Drosophila melanogaster: one gene and its partner. The protein of the gene in region 2 interacts with the protein of the main gene of each other region in a biochemical or structural test. Each region holds a gene or a part of one and is shown on either strand. Other genes may lie near its edges.

Region 1 (4,466 bases), on a different chromosome or scaffold from region 2:
TGAAACACTTGTACACATTGTTGTCGTAGTGGTCAATGGTCAGCTGGGCATTGACAGAGTCGCAGTGGAAGTGCGCCCATAGCTCGCAGTGCTCGCACTGGATGATCATCTCGCCGTTGCTGTACGAGACTTTGCAGACGGGACACGAGGATTGGCTGGTGCAGGATGGGCACTCGAGCATGTTGGAGTCCCCGAACTCGCTCTTCTCGGTGGGATTGCGACCGCATTTCTGGCACAGTGTACAGAACGAGCACTTCCAGTTGCCCGTGGGCACGGTTTCCAGCGGAGGATTCACACAGTAAATGTGATACGAAATGTCGCACTCGTCGCACAGGAGCAGGCGCGCCTCGTCGTTCTTCTTGCCACATCCCTCGCACACTGTGCAGTCCAGGCATCGCCAACCCTTCTGCAGGATGCCTCGCGAAGGCTTCACGCCGGCGCAGTACGGATGATAGCATTGGCCGCACTGTGCGCAGGTGATCATCACGGAATCGCTCTCAATGCCCAGCGAGCCGCACATTACGCAGATGTCTTGCGCTTGGATAAACTTATCCCGCGCCGAGCAGAGCAGCAGCTTTTTGTCGCTGGTCAGATCTGTTTCCATGCTGCGACTCAGGCAGCGATCGCTCGAGATGGTGGGCAGCGCAAGCTGGCGCCCCTTGCCTCGGGTGCTGCGTTTCTTGTTGATCTGCGACATCACACCCATGCGGTGTAGGACGAACTTTCCGCTTCTACCGCGAACACTCGTAAGGCACACTTTTTTCTTGCCGGTGGGTAGCTTGTGGAGCTCATCGCTCGATGGATCCATTGTGGGTTTGCCCTCCAGCGGGTCAAGTTCGATTTCCTTGAGGCTCAGTTGCTCCGACGACGAATCCATGGCGGACAGCACGATCGAGTCGATTGTCTGTTGGGATGATCCCGGGCCCGACGAATTACTCTTGCAATTCGGACACACGTAGTCGTAATCTGGGTTTTGCTCCTTCTTCTTGTGGTAGGCCGTTAAATCCGCCTCTTCGTCACACGTACTGTGCACAAATCTGAAACGAATCCATATAATAAGCAAGACTAATCAGGCAGAAGCGAGTGAAACGTACTTGTTGCACCAGCTGCACTTGACCATTTCCTTGTGCGATGCTGCCCTGTACGCTTTCTGGCAAATCGGGCAGGAAAAGCCCTTGTTCCGCTGCTGATAGCACGAATCGCAGATTGTGTAGTGGCTATGCCAGCGGGAGGAGCTGCCGCCGCCAGGAGTTCTTGAACCACAATCCGTACAGACGCGACAGCGCTAGAAGGAACATAAATACCATAAGTATTGGATAACACTTAATATCCGTCAATATCTGCTTACATTGCACTTCCAGCCATATTTGGGGATGGCTGAGATAACTGGTCGCAAGCAGGAGGCGTGGTAAGTCTTCTGGCATTGCTCACACTTAACGTACTTGGTGTCGTTCGAGTCTTGCTGCCTGCAAATCTGGCATTTTGTGCAACGGGCGCAGTTCCACCCAGAACGCGTATCTATGGAAGCATTAAACATGTAAACATGTAAACCAATGGTACGATGGTACTTGACAGTAGTTACCCGGCAAATTGGCCAGACCAATGCAGGTCGAATGAAAGTGGTCTCCGCAGGTACTACACATGATCAGCTTGGACAGATCCCCCAGCGAGGAGCAGGACAGACACTCCACATTATTGTCGCTGCCTGTAAGTCATTTGTTTCCATTAGTTTCTGTGAGAGTTTGCTGCCCAAGAATCACTTACATATCACAGGCACCTGGCTCAAATGTTCCGTGCAGAAGACCGTAAAGCTCTCGAGGATCAGAAGGCACCCAGCAGCGGCGGCACACGGCCAATGGTGCACCTGGCGGCAGTTCATCTTGCAGTTGATGGAGGCCCCGTAGCGTCCACAAAAGTTGCACTTTTGCTCCAGGAACTCCGCGAAGTGGGTGGCAAAGTACGCGCCATCTGCATCGCTTATCTGACTTTTGCGCAGCGACCACATGATGCACATGCGGTGCACGTAGACGAACCCCTCGTCAAGAAATTCGGCGGGATGCACGACGTCCGGCTGTCCAATCTTGTCCAGCTCGTAGTGACAATCGCCCGAACTAGAAGCGGCCTGCTTAGGCCCGTATAACAGCCTGGATCCGTCCTCCCTCAGCCGATCCGTCGGATATTTATCCTTGATCTCGGCGGGCGCGGGCGCCTTCAGTTGTAGAATCTCGCCCTGGCCCAAGGCACTCTTCTCGCCGAGATTGCATAAACAGCACACCTTGCCCGGAAACTTCTCCGGGAAGTACGGCAGGTCGTCGGCCACCGCCTTCTCCTCCATGCTCACAACAACGTTCGTGCTCATCGCGGATTGATGCGTTTCATTAAAATAACAAAAAATAGCCGCCGCTTATTTTGTATACATTACTCGACAGCTAAATAAAATGTCAACGTGCATCGCGCCCCAATGTTATCGAACAGGCGTCAATGTTGTCGAGAACGATGTGCGTTCGTTTGCAGAGCGAGTAGTACAATTATTAGATATAAATATAAAAGTCTTCCTTATATTACAAAGTATTTATACTTTTAAATGGCAAATCAAATATAACATCATATTTTAATTTTTTTTATGCGGCTACAAATTAATTAATTAATTTCTGAAATTATACATTATAAATAATAATACACTTACATTAGGCTGTCACGCCTACATATCGATATACCTTTACCAATCGCATTCAGCTGATCAAAGTGCAACTCTGCAATCCAGCCCTGGAAAAATACCGTACTCCAGTTCTTCAAACTGGAAAAATGATGGCACAACTAAGTTAAACACACAGAAGTAGAAAATGTAAATAAAAGCACAATTATAGACTATTCTGTTAGCATGGCTGTGTATCGTCCCCGCGGCACCCTGGCCAGGGTAATCCACGCCAAATTCCACAACGACAACTCTCTGGAGGACATAGACACTCGGAAGGTAACTCGAAATCCCGAAACAATATGATTTTTCCTAAATTCTGGATGCATTTCAGTGGTACTGCCTGAACCACGAGCTGCCGCCGAGATTCCAGTCCAAGTTCGTGCCGCTCGAGCCGGATGCCACCACCGTGAGCTGGCTGGAGCGCACCAAGGCGCTTTCGGCAAACATCTGGACCCACTTGTGGCACGCCCTGGCTCGCTCAATCCTGCAGTTCTTCATGACCCAGACGGACATCAACGGGTTCCTGAAGCGCGGCTCCATGTTCATACTGTCCGAGGAACAGTTTCGCAAGCTGCTAGTAGCAGGCGGCTTTCAGCCTGCCAGCGGTCAAGAACCTGTAAGATGAGTAAAAGCCTTTAGTCTTGACCACTACTCATCTGCCATCATATCGTAGGTCACGTTGCTGGATATCGGAGCCGGGGACGGTGAGATTTCGCTGCGCGTGGCCAACACCGTTTCCGAGCTGAGCGGAAGTGCCGGGCTGCGGGTCTTCGCCACCGAGGCCAGTTGGACCATGCGCGATCGGCTGAAGAAGCTGAACTTCAACGTAATCACCGAGATAGACGGTCTGCAGAACCTGGAATTGATTCTGTGCCTCAACGTATTGGACCGCTGCTTCGATTCATTCAAGCTGCTCGAGGACATTCACCTGGCACTAGCTCCCAATGGTCGAGCAGTTGTGGCCTTAGTACTTCCCTACATGCACTACGTGGAGACGAATACCTCGCATCTGCCGCTGCGCCCGCTGCTGGAGAACAACGGGCGACAGGCGTCGTTCGAGGAGGAGGCGGCCAGGTTTATGGAGCTGCTGGAGAACTGTGGCTACCGCGTGGAGGCATGGACCAAGGCGCCGTACTTGTGCGAGGGTGATCTCCACCAGTCGTTCTATTGGTTAATCGATTTAATTGTTGTCATTTCCAAGAAGACATTCTAGATCAAAGCTTCCACATCCTAAAAAGAACCCTTCTGAAGTTATTGTAACCGTTTTCCTCGTAGAGTTAAGTGGCTGCATTGAGAAACTGAGCATTTATACTTATTACAAATGTAGGCTATCAACTAGTTAAACAATTTATTCTTAAAGAATTACCAAAAATGTAAATGGATAAACAAACATGTTTAAATTAAAGGGCGACATTCAAAGCCGCGTTCGAAACTGAATACTGTTCTCGATATTATCAACTAATTGTAGTTATTCTACAGTCTTGGGTAGTTTTAATGCATCTAACTTGATACTTGTGGCAGTAATCAGGTAACTTAGAATATGTATTTGACGAGCAGCTGTTTAATAACAAATGTCAGTATTGTCGAAGGTATTATGTGTACTAAACTAAGCCTTATATAGTCTTTGGTAGTCATTGGCATTTTTTTTTGCTTGTGAAAATAACCTCGAGGTAGTTATTGGCATACACAATCCTCTCGGTATCTTCTGGTGCTGGATTGTGCAGTGGCAATATTTCACGATAGGGATTGCCCATTATATTGTAGGCTC
Region 2 (4,466 bases):
TGTCCAAGTGATTGCTGTTGTTGCTATTGCTACTGCTGCTGTTGCTGCTAAAGGAAGCGCTGTTGTTGGTTGCTGCGGCTGCTGTTGCTGCAGTTGTTGCTGCTACTGCTACGGCAGCTGCGGCTGCTGCTGCGGTCGGTGGGTGGTTGTTGCTGCTGTTGTCCAGCTTCAGATGATGATGCGGATGATGGTGTTGCTGCTGCTGCTGTTGCTGCTGAAGATGCTGCTGCTGTTGCTGCTGATGCGAATGCGAGTGAGGATGATGCTGCGAGTGATGATGGTGATGCACATGCGTATGCTGGTGAGGATCGTCGTCCTGCTCCATGGGAGCATCCTGCAGTATAAATTCGATCTGTTGCGATAGGGCGCTATCGTTAATGGCCATTAATCCGTCCATATCTTTGACACCGGCAGCGGCGCCAACGGCGGGGAAGAGCGATGGCAGCGCCGTCGACGTCCCGCTGCCGCCGTCGACGTTCGTCGCGCTGCTGGCCATGGCAGCGATATACTAATTGATGTATATTTCCCTTATTTGTATCTGCAAATCGTACAAACATTTGGATTAGACTCACATTCGGCCATGGCTGGTGGGCAATAACTTACGTTCTTCTCTTGAGCTGTTGGGGATGCGACGCCTGTGTTTGGCGTAAACCTCCAGCTATGTTGAATATATTGTTAGCCTGAGAAATAGAACAATATTATGAACTCTGCCACAAAATCTAACAAACAAGTTAAGTCCATTCGAGTTTCTGATGTCTTAAAGTACGGGTTATTAAATAAAACTAGATGAAAGCGAAATGCTTTCAGTACTGAGAGGAACAACTATACAAAACTTTGGTGATTAAGTGATAATTTCATCGAAACGAACTAGTTTTTGTTTGGAAAAAGCAGGGCTTGTTGTTACTTACAATTTTTTGTTTGTTTCTTGTCGTTTTGGCTGCCAAAGTTTTCTTTTATGTTACTACTCCCTATTTAAAAATCTTGCCTTTGGGCGTCTGTTGTTTCCTCTTCTACAGAATTTTGTTTGTCGAAGCTGCCATAATTAATAATTGTTGTATATTTTTCAAGTTGCCGCTTCCTCTTCGCCTTCTTCTTCTTCTCATAGATTTGCTGATGGGCTTCTTCTTCTGCTTTAGTTATTACATCTGTTTCTTCCTCCGTTTATTCTGTTCTCTTTCGAATGCCGCTTCTTCCTTGACTCGTATTATTATTACTATTATTCTTCGATTATACGATTGGAAAACACACACACACGCACACACACACACGTTCTTGTATTTTTGTTGTATTTTGTTTTGTTTTTCGTTTGCTCAACGCCTCGCTGTCGGCCTTTCCTTTATGTTCACATTTGGTTTTTTGGGCTGCACAAAAATTTTCCATTTCCTTGTCATGCGGTTTTCTGTGCTTTCCATGCGGCGACGCTGGCGTCGACGTCGCTGCTGGCTGCGCTGCTCCTGGCTGTCGTTGTTGTTTTAGCTTTTGTTGTTTCCTTGCTTGCTTTCCACATTTTAGTTAAAAATGTTTCTGCGCTGTTTTTTGTTGTTTGCTTCACGCACGCACACACACACACAGAAGTCGTTACATTTGCTCCTTTCCTTTTTGTTATTATTATTATTATTGATCTGCTCTCCTCTTTCGCATTTTGTGCAATTTGATTACTAACTGTAAGTGAGATGTAGAAAAATCAGGTAAATTATACACGTTTTTGCTGCTGTTAACAATTAAATGCGTTTTACGAAATCCGATTTTCCACCCACACTCACACACACACACCAGTGCGCGCCTTGGAAATAAAAACAAAAAATTAATTTTAGCTTTTCCCCCCACTCTCTCTCTCACCATCTCTCACACACACACACATTCACAGGTTTTTCACTTTTGCTCCATTTTTCTTTCGGTTTTTTTTGGGGAAGTCTCTCCTCTCCCTTGCTCACACTTTTTGACCTTTTCGATTGTTCTTCTTTTGCCTTTTTCTTTTGCCACTGCTGTTCGTTCCTTTGGTTTTATGTTGCGTTTATTAACTTGCTAATTGTTTAGTTCGTTTTATTGAATTTGTTTGCGTTATTTTTTTGCCATTTCTTTTTCGGTTTCGTTTTTTTTTTTGCAAGGCAGCAACAACAACGAACGACGAGACAATTAGCGGCTGCGCTGCTTCTTCTTCTTCTGCTGCTGCTTGCTCTCCTACTCTGATTCCTATTCTTCTTCTTCTTCGTCCGTGTTTCCCAGCCGATTTTTGCTCCCCCGCGAGTAGTTTTTCTTTGGCTTTCCCCCGTTCGCCTTTTGTTGTTGCCGTTTTCCACACACCCGCTTTACTTTTCACATCCGCAAGCTCGTTTTTCCCTTTCGCGCTGTTCTTCCACACTGTTCAATAATAACAAAAAAATATTTGCTTGTGTGTGAATTTTTGCCTCCCTGGGTCTTACTACGCTCGTGTGTGTGAGTTAGTGTTGCGCAGGGTTGCATTCGGCGGTCAGTGTTGGTAAACGAACGGGCGATGGCGCGCAATTTCGTGCAATATTCAAAAAGTTAATTGGTTTTCGGTTGGCCCGCACACAAAACAACGTTACTTTTATTTCGTTTTTCTTTTTGGTTCTTGTCCTACTCCGTTTCGCCTTTTTTTTTGCCTTTCTTACCCTTTTTAAACACCCACACAACTTCGTTCTCACTCACAACACAAAACCAAAATATACAGCAGGGGTCAATGAAATAGTATTATCAGGTACATCTTACTCAACATCTATTAATTTTTCCTTAAACAGATTATTTTTAAATAAGAAATGAAAAACAACATTTAATTATTATTATTAATTTAATAGGGGCTTAGTACACGCATTTTAAGATCATACTACAAGCGAGCATCTACTTTCAAAAGAAGGCCGTCTTAACGAATTCCCTATTCTCTCGGCCACAACTGTTCCTAAAAGGACTGCCAGAACTTGGAGCCCAAAAAGGGAGCACAAAAAGAGGACGTTGTTGGGCGGGGGAGCAGGGGGAGAGCTGACCTAACAAGCGGAAATACATAGGCACAAAAGAAATACGCCAAAAGGCAGTCGGCGTGAGCGAGAAGGATGGAAAATGGTCGAATTGCGCGAGAGCGAAAGAGGGGACGCTAGCGCGTCATACGTTGCACAGTGGAGCGAAATAGGTGATAATAAAACAACAAACTCATTAATATTACATTTAAAACATTAATTTAGTGCCTATGAGTTCACTGGAGCGTGAAAATTCGAAATTTGTTAGAACACCTAGTCTGCGCGTCCCACTGTGCGATGGGGCCCGCAGCGGGGGGCGACAAAAGGCGTGAGAGGTGGAGAAGCCGTTTTATTTCGACAGTTTCTGAATTGTGCTCTCTCTCACTCACTCACTCTCCTTCTCCATCTTGCTTCTCCCTTTTTTCGAGTGCTGCTCCTGGAAAGATGAGGAGCAAGAGGAAGAAAACATCATCACCTTGGAAGAAAAAAATTTTCAGTGGGAAATAATTCGCTTCGTTTTTTTTTTGGTCTTTTCATTTGGTGGGTAGTGGGTGGTTTTATTGCTCAGTGATTTTTCGCCGGGCGGCGACGGGTGGTGAAGTTTTTGGGGGTTGAAAGCACACACACACACACTAACGCAAACATCAGCAAAATAAAGGGCTAACAAGGGTTAAAAAATATCCGCACAACAAAATAATAGCAGATAAAAAAAAACTAAATGAAATTCACACACAAAGGCAGCTGGAATCCTCTCCCCCACACAACCACACACGCACACTCAAAGAAAAGAGAACTAGTTCTTTTGTTTTTCTCTTTTCGTAACTAGTGGATAACTACTTCCATGCCATACATCCATATATATAAATTTACATATTTATTTAATTGTTTATATTTTTTAGCTGGCGCCGCTCTCTTGCCCTCTCTCCATCACACATTATTCGCACTTCACGCGCACGCACACACACACACTCGCACATGCTCGACACGCACACTCCTTTCGCTTTTCCATCGGTTTTTACTCACACTTAACATCACATTTTCGTTTGTTTGCGGGGTGTGTGCAATGCAGTTGGTTTAGTTTATCAGTGGTTTTAGTTTGTTATGTTTTTTACAGTTGCTTTAATTGCGTTTTATCGCCTTTTTGTTTTGTTTTTTATTTTTTATGAAAGGTTGGTAATGTGACCAAAGCCTGATGCTTAGAGATGGAATAACTAAAGCGATACTGGCAACAGTCACTATCGATACTTTGTAGGTACATCGATACATCGAAAGGAGGTGCAATTGCCAAATATTTAAAACCTAAAACTAAAACTGAAAATACTAAAATACTTACTTGATGTCTGGGCACACTGAAACTGGGTTTTTGAATTTTTACCGGTTTTTTATACACAGAAACACGAAATGCCGCCGTTTTATAGCCGTTTTTCAATTAACCTGAATCAGTCTATTCGAACAATTAAATAACTTGACAATTGACGTTGGCAAAAATGTAAA

Evidence for each region. The genes of interacting proteins can lie anywhere in the genome.
Region 1: the proteins of CG32767 (region 2) and Lpt form a complex in vitro, tested with the Drosophila melanogaster proteins (one study listed by BioGRID).

The regions. Positions count from the first base shown.
Region 1 is NT_033778.4:23,896,563-23,901,028, reverse strand, and holds the start of Lpt (lost PHDs of trr), read right to left. Parts: upstream 2,469-4,466; 5' UTR 2,360-2,468; coding exon 1,765-2,359; intron 1,706-1,764; coding exon 1,583-1,705; intron 1,519-1,582; coding exon 1,349-1,518; intron 1,286-1,348; coding exon 1,095-1,285; intron 1,038-1,094; coding exon 1-1,037. Other genes in the region: CG5339 (uncharacterized protein), read left to right, coding at 2,882-2,974, 3,030-3,314, 3,372-3,911; CG17658 (uncharacterized protein), read right to left, coding at 4,330-4,466.
Region 2 is NC_004354.4:5,080,578-5,085,043, forward strand, and holds the start of CG32767 (uncharacterized protein), read right to left. Parts: upstream 2,449-4,466; 5' UTR 1,840-2,448; intron 1,663-1,839; 5' UTR 909-1,662; intron 681-908; 5' UTR 604-680; intron 539-603; 5' UTR 497-538; coding exon 1-496.